Linked DNA regions of Macaca mulatta. Each later gene encodes a partner of the first gene's protein in a complex. Links are inferred from orthologs where the notes say so. Each region holds a gene or a part of one and is shown in the gene's direction. Other genes may lie near its edges. The genes, in order: CRNKL1 and CWC27.

The links.
Region 2: CRNKL1 (region 1) and CWC27 share a complex: the UniProt entries of both Homo sapiens proteins name them as parts of the minor spliceosome. The link is inferred for Macaca mulatta from reciprocal best matches to the Homo sapiens genes CRNKL1 and CWC27.

Annotation. Positions count from the first base shown.
Region 1 is NC_133415.1:63,986,432-63,990,251, forward strand, and holds the end of CRNKL1 (crooked neck-like protein 1), read left to right. Parts: intron 1-1,030; coding exon 1,031-1,132; intron 1,133-1,913; coding exon 1,914-2,162; intron 2,163-3,086; coding exon 3,087-3,254; 3' UTR 3,255-3,589; downstream 3,590-3,820. UniProt on the Homo sapiens protein: Involved in pre-mRNA splicing process. As a component of the minor spliceosome, involved in the splicing of U12-type introns in pre-mRNAs.
Region 2 is NC_133411.1:72,827,941-72,831,760, forward strand, and holds part of CWC27 (spliceosome-associated protein CWC27 homolog), read left to right. Parts: intron 1-1,789; coding exon 1,790-1,933; intron 1,934-3,820. UniProt on the Homo sapiens protein: As part of the spliceosome, plays a role in pre-mRNA splicing. Probable inactive PPIase with no peptidyl-prolyl cis-trans isomerase activity. As a component of the minor spliceosome, involved in the splicing of U12-type introns in pre-mRNAs.

The DNA of each region.
Region 1 (3,820 bases):
CTGCTCAGATTAGGCTTGTATGTGGAAAGGTGACTGTTGGGGACAGGGGAAGTACCCCTCCTGTTAGATACCAGTAGACATCCAGGATGATGCCCAGGATGAATTGGGATATCGTGGGGGTGGGTGATGCCCCTCTCCAACAGGGAAGCCTAAAGGGGCTGGGGAAGATGCCAGGCAAAGAAGCAGCCAGCAGGCTGGCCCACCTGGAGAACAAGGGGGATGGAGGTGGGAACACATATCCCTGTATTCTCTAAACCAGGATGTCCTTGCCACTACTGTTGTCACTGTCCTGAAAGTCGTCGCCTGCCTTCAGTAGTTAAGCTTGACCCACAAGGTAGCACCAAACCACAGCTAGGACCGATTTGAATCTCACAGGAGCCGTAGAACTCACCCAGTTGTTTTGTTAATCTCATGCACTGACATGACCCCGCATTTAATGGTTTGGCCCCCTGACTGCGTTAAGGCAGAGCTTTGGGTATCACTGAGTTTGTCAGTTGTCCTCAGCTCCTCCACCAGACTGCCAGGTCTCAGGTGTCCAGGCCACGGTTTATTCATCCTTATGCCCTGCCAGGCTGCACCGAGCCAGTGCTCACCTGTTCAGTGAATGCTTGTTGCATTGAACTCTCATAATAACAAGGAGTGTACAGTAGAGGTAAGAACATACATACTGGCTAACCTGGGCCTATTTTCTCTCTGGAAGCTCAACTGCATGTAGCTGGAATATGAAAGAGTACCTGGGAGATGCTTGGCAAGTTTCTCAGCTCTTGATAAGTCAACCATTTGAAAAACTTCCAAAGAGAATCTCTAAGACTGAATCCAAGGCCCTTTTTCTGTAATCTGAAATTCTAGCCAAGTTTTGGCCAGCTTATAGATACCAATGTTATTTGTCTTATCCACATGTGTTCTTTAGTTGTTCTGTAAAACTCTTATGTTCCTAGATGTAGGTTAGAGTGATACTTAAGCTGTGCTTTGGCTGGGGGCATGCTGCTTTGCAAATGTCAAGACTGACCAATTTACTTGTCTTTCTTAGGTGCTTTGGAAATCATATATTGATTTTGAAATTGAGCAGGAAGAAACGGAAAGAACACGAAACCTTTACCGACGGTTGCTTCAAAGGACGCAGCATGTCAAGGTATCCTTTTGCTTTGTAGATGATCTTTCATTTTGCTTGAATCAGCAGTCCTGAAGAAAATACTCTATTTCTGTATTTTAAGTGTGTGGGGTTTTTTTGTTTTTTGTTTTGTTTTGTTTTGTTTTAAATGACTTCCTTGCTTCTTAAGAGAAACATGAGTCTCAGAGGACTTTCGAATGTTAAGTTTATACCAGGTCATTGTTTATGTTGCATGTGAATAGCTTGGGTATCACAAGATTGAAAAAAAGTTAAACTTTTTTTTTTTTTTTTTTTGAGACAGTCTCACTCTGTCGCTAGGCTGGAAGGCAGTGGCGCAATCTTGGCTTACTGCAACCTCCTCCTCCCGGGTTCAAGCAATTCTCCTGCCTCAGCCTCCTGAGTAGCTGGGAGTAGAGGTGTGCGCCATCACGCCCAAGCTAATTTTTCTATTTTTAGTAGAGATGGGGTCACCTGTTGGCCAGGATGGTCTCAATCTCTTGACCTTGTGATCTGCCCGCCTCAGCCTCCCAAAGTGCTGGAATTACAGGCGTGAGCCACTGCACCCAGCCAAGTTAAACTCTTTTCAAGAGTTTAAAACTATGTCAGACATTTAACTGTAGAATGTAGAATGACATATTTTCAGTGTTTGTATTGAAGCATATATTCATTGTTTTAATCTGTGAAACACTAGTAATGAACACATCTTTCTGATGTCATTAACTGGGAATTCGCTTTATTATTACTACATTAGTGTCTTCTGAGTGACATGGTTAATTTGGTTCAATAATAACTTTTTTTAAAGGTATGGATCAGCTTTGCTCAGTTTGAGTTGTCTTCAGGAAAAGAAGGAAGTTTGGCTAAATGCAGACAAATTTATGAAGAAGCTAACAAAACCATGCGAAACTGTGAAGAAAAGGAAGAGAGACTTATGCTGCTGGAATCTTGGCGAAGTTTTGAAGAGGAATTTGGAACAGCTTCAGATAAGGAGAGAGTAGACAAACTCATGCCAGAGAAAGTCAAGAAGAGAAGAAAGGTCCAGACGGACGATGGGGTAAGATCTCTGCCCTGGGACTGTTCATCTCACGTAACATGAGTAGAAACACATCTGACTTTGAAATGTAGACTTTTAAGTGGCATATGTACAATCTTAGAAGGGAAGCAGACCACCTGGAGTAGGAGATGGTTGCAATCTGGCTGTTATGGAAACACGGGGTAGAGCATATGGTCCAGTCAGAGGTGGAGAATGAGAAGGGGTTGGCAAAGGTGTTTTGATGACGGTTGAGTCTGGGAACTTCATGAAGTGTGATATTTTTAGAGCATTAAATAGGAAGTCAGCGTGGAGGAAGACTGAAGCGAACTTTCAGATAGCAGCCTATCCAGGGAAGGCTTGTAGGCGATAAGAAGGAGTTTGGTGGGAGTCAGTGAAGGCTGTTTTGCATAAAATGACGTGACCAGATTGCTGGCATCTGGCATCTCATACTGGTAGACTCAAGGGGCTTAGACTGGAGAAAGAAGACCCATCAGGAAGCAGTTTTTATAAGCTGAGCAAGACATGGAAGCTGGAACTAGAACAGGGCCACAGGGCCTGTTAGAACAGTATTTGGAAGGTGAAATCAGTGACTGATAAGAGGTGAGGATGGGAGGGTAGGGAGTTGGAATAATAATGCACAGATGTATGACTTTTGCTACTGGATGAATATTATGTAAAAATCGTTAAACATTTTCTTAAACCTAAGACTGCACAATGTAGTTGGAGACACTGAACATCTTGGTTGGCTGTAGAAGAGCTATGCTTAGATGTTTAGAATTTTTTTCTACCATTTTAGTTCTCACTGAGCTACAGTTGCTGCTTACTCACTCCCAGTCTTTCAGACCCAGCCCTTGTTCTTTCTGTAGTAGACTTTGATGTTGTTTTGTAAAATGGAGGAGTGTATCACCCACGTTTGCTTATCTTTTCATTGTTTTATTTCTGTAGTCTGATGCAGGCTGGGAAGAATACTTTGATTACATCTTTCCAGAAGATGCTGCCAACCAGCCTAACCTCAAACTCCTGGCCATGGCCAAACTGTGGAAGAAACAGCAGCAGGAAAAGGAGGATGCTGAGCACCATCCAGATGAGGACGTCGATGAGAGTGAATCCTGATCTTTTTTTCATATTGACAAATGTTTTGTTATTTTTATAAATTAATTGTTTGGAACTCTTGTGACTCCTGGAAGTTCTTACATATTTCACCAGTAAGAAACTGATTGGTATCTTTGATAGCTACTTTTTAAGTTATTTTTTAAATGCTCTTGGGTTAGCTAGGGGTGGGGATTGCAAGTAAAGGACTTTTTTAACTGCTGGATTTCTTTTTCCAACTGAGTCCAAACTTTTCTAGCGTCTGTCCACATCATGCATTAGAAAATGTAATTAAGGTAACATTCTACAGTAACTTTTCATGTCATAACCATAAAGATAGTTTATGCATTCATCTGAAATGTGTAACTTTTTCATGTCTTCAGAGTCACAGACTTGAGTTCATTTCCCAGCTCTGCCACTCATGATTATATAACTTAATTTTCATTTTGCTCATTCACAAAATGGGCCAATACTTTGACAACTCATTTTGAAGATTACATTATAAAAGGAATATACCTGGTGGGTGCATAGTAAGTGCTCAGTAAAGTGTTTGTTCTAAGCCACTTTTAAAAATAGTTTCATTCCTTGTA
Region 2 (3,820 bases), on another chromosome or scaffold:
GTAAGACTGAATTATTATTTTTATTACTATTTTTGTTGTTATTATTTCCAAGTCAGTTTGGATTGCTTAATCGAAAATGATTGTGTTCCACAAGAGGAAAAAACATTTCACAGTAGTATATAAAAATCAGGCTGGGTGCAGTAGCTCATGCCTGTAATTCCAGCACTTTGGGAAGCCAAGGGGGGCGGATCATTTGAGGTCAAGAGTTTGAGACCAGCCTGGCCAATGGTGAAACCCCGTCTCTACTAAAATTACAAAAAGTAGCCAGGCATGGTGGCACACACCTGTAATCCCAGCTACTCAAGAGGCTGAGGCAGGAGAATTGCCTGAACCTGGGAGGTGGAGGTTGCAGTGAGCTGAGATCGCACCAGTGCGCTCTAGCCTGGGCGACCAAGTGAGACTCTGTCTCAAAAAAAAAAATAAATAAATAAATTGTCTGTAAAAGATGCATTAATCAAGAATAGGTCAGTGATTTCTTATCTGCCAACATAGATCTAAGAAGAAAAAGAGTTAATGTCATAGTGAAGATATTAAGAACAATAGCAAGTTCAAGTAAAAGCTAAAAATTGTGTTTGTTATTAATTTGATGGCACCAATATCATGTTCTTTGAATGAGTAAACAGTATCTCTTAAAATATGGGAGTTTTTGAAAAATTCATTTTTATACTAATGGAATAGATTGTCTGCATTTTCCTTTCATCTTTTACCAAGTCATTGTGTCATTCTTGAAGAAAATATTTGAACTGTTTGCTTTAATTTCCAGATGATAATGGCTTTAGAAATTTGGAATAGTTACTTTAAAAGTCTCAGATATCACTTTTAGACTGTTTTATATTTTACCATAGTAAGACTTCTCATGATTTTAGGTACTTCGTCTAGTCGGAAACATTCTTTTATTCTTTTATTTAGTGTAACAGAATAGTTGTTTTTGACAATTCCTTCCTAACTTGAGATTTTTGCTTCATTATTTTCAGGTAATACAGTTATCTTGTTACATTTTTCAATTAGGTCATTTTGAATACAGTATACAGAGTTGTGATCCATTGAGTTCAGATCTCTTGAGAATTATTTATTAAGGAAAAAATCTCCCTTTGTGAAAAGCATTTATGATATAACATGGCTACATTTATAAATGACTTCAATATCAGGTTGGAAGGAAATTCTGTTAACTAAGAGACTAATATATTTGTTAAGTAGCCCTATCGTGGTGAGAAAACCACCTTAGAAAGACTTGTTCCTGCTCTTTTGAAAACTGGCAAATAGAATCAGTGCCATTTCAGAGAAGATTCAACTTAGGACTTTAAAAAGACATGGTAAAATTACATGACACAATAATAGTAGATTATTTGAATTAAAAAACAAGAAGAAAGCAATTGTTTAATGACATTTAGAATGAGATGGGAAAGAGTAATAATTGAAGACTCTGCAATGGCTCAAAGGTAGTGTTCTGGGAGAAGTAAGAGAAGATTTCAAAAGCTTAGCTGACTTTGGGATGAGAGTAGGGAAATAATTTAGAAATCCATTCCCCCTTGGGTACTCTTCCTTTGGGTATAACTAAGCAGCTTTCCACAAAATAGGGTATATTTCTGTATGAGTATATTTAGAAAATACAGTCTAGTGAATTCAAGTTTAATAACATTGAAAGAATAGTAAGTGCTCAAAAATCAATTAAGCAAAATGTCTGCATTTTTTATTAGAAGTTGTACGGGACCTTGCGGGTCAAGTTGAATAACTGCATATGACGGGTCTTATAACTGAGGACATTCACTAGATCTTTTTTACATTTCAGGATGAATTTCATTCACGGTTGCGTTTTAATCGGAGAGGCCTGGTTGCCATGGCAAATGCTGGTTCTCATGATAATGGCAGCCAGTTTTTCTTCACACTGGGTCGAGCGGATGAACTTAACAATAAGCATACCATCTTTGGAAAGGTTAGTGTCCAGTGATTTTAAACCTGTGGTTCAGTTTTTGGTTTTATGTTATTCCTTAGGCTTCTAAGATACATATGATTAACTTATCTAAGAGTTACCTTCATCAAAACATTCCATAGGATATGTTTATTCTTTACAAAAATGATGGAATATATTCCTATTATAGTGCACTATGAGGGAGCAGCTAAATTCTTTTTTGCATCTTTCAATTCACTCATTAGTTGTGACTTTAGTGTATTTCTTCTTTAAAACCATAGTAATGGTATGAGCTAATAATGTGCCACTTAGCCAGTATTGATTTTACATTTTCGGATTTTGATTTTACATTTAGGTAATAACATTTAGTAGTTTAAAGTTTAGTTTCTTGGGGGGCGGAGCAAGATGGCCGAATAGGAGCAGCTCCAGTCTCCAACTCCCAGCGCGAGCGACACAGAAGACCGGTGATTTCTGCATTTTCAACTGAGGTACTGGGTTCATCTCACTGGGGAGTGCCGGACGATCGGTGCTGGTCAGCTGCTGCAGCCCGACCAGTGAGAGCTGAAGCAGGGCGAGGTATTGCCTCACCTGGGAAGCGCAAGGGGGAAGGGAGTCCCTTTTCCTAGCCAGGGGAACTGAGACACACAACACCTGGAAAATCGGGTAACTCCCACCCCAATACTGCGCTTTAAGCAAACAGGCACACCAGGAGATCATATCCCACACCTGGCCGGGAGGGTCCCACACCCACGGAGCCTCCCTCATTGCTAGCGCAGCAGTCTGTGATCTACCAGCAAGGCAGCAGTGAGGCTGGGGGAGGGGCGCCCGCCATTGCTGAGGCTTAAGTAGGTAAACAAAGCTGCTGGGAAGCTGGAACTGGGTGGAGCTCACAGCAGCTCAAGGAAACCTGCCTGTCTCTGTAGACTCCACCTCTGGGAACAGGGCACAGTAAACAAACGCAGCAGACACCTCTGCAGACACAAACGACTCTGTCTGACAGGTTTGAAGAGAGCAGTGGATCTCCCAACACGGAGGTTGAGATCTGAGAAGGGACAGACTCCCTGCTCAAGTGGGTCCCTGACACCTGAGTAGCCTAACTGGGAGACATCCCCCACTAGGGGCAGTCTGACATCCCACACCTCACAGGGAGGAGTACACCCCTGAGAGGAAGCTTCCAAAGCAAGAATCAGACAGGTACACTCGCTGTTCAGAAATATTCTATCTTCTGCAGCCTCTGCTGCTGATACCCAGGCAAACAGGGTCTGGAGTGGACCTCAAGCAATCTCCAACAGACCTACAGCTGAGCGTCCTGACTGTTAGAAGGAAAACTATCAAACAGGAAGGACACCTACACCAAAACCCCATCAGTACATCACCATCATCAAAGACCAGAGGCAGATAAAACCACAAAGATGGGGAAAAAGCAGGGCAGAAAAGCTGGAAATTCAAAAAATAAGAGCGCATCTCCCCCGGCAAAGGAGCGCAGCTCATCGCCAGCAACGGATCAAAGCTGGACGGAGAATGACTTTGACGAGATGAGAGAAGAAGGCTTCAGTCCATCAAATTTCTCAGAGCTAAAGGAGGAATTACGTACCCAGCGCAAAGAAACTAAAAATCTTGAAAAAAAAGTGGAAGAATTGATGGCTAGAGTAATTAATGCAGAGAAGGTCCTAAACGAAATGAAAGAGATGAAAACCATGACACGAGAAATACGTGACAAATGCACAAGCTTCAGTAACCGACTCGATCAACTGGAAGAAAGAGTATCAGCGATTGAGGATCAAATGAATGAAATGAAGCGAGAAGAGAAACCAAAAGAAAAAAGAAGAAAAAGAAATGAGCAAAGCCTGCAAGAAGTATGGGATTATTTAAAAAGACCAAATCTAGGTCTGATTGGGGTGCCTGAAAGTG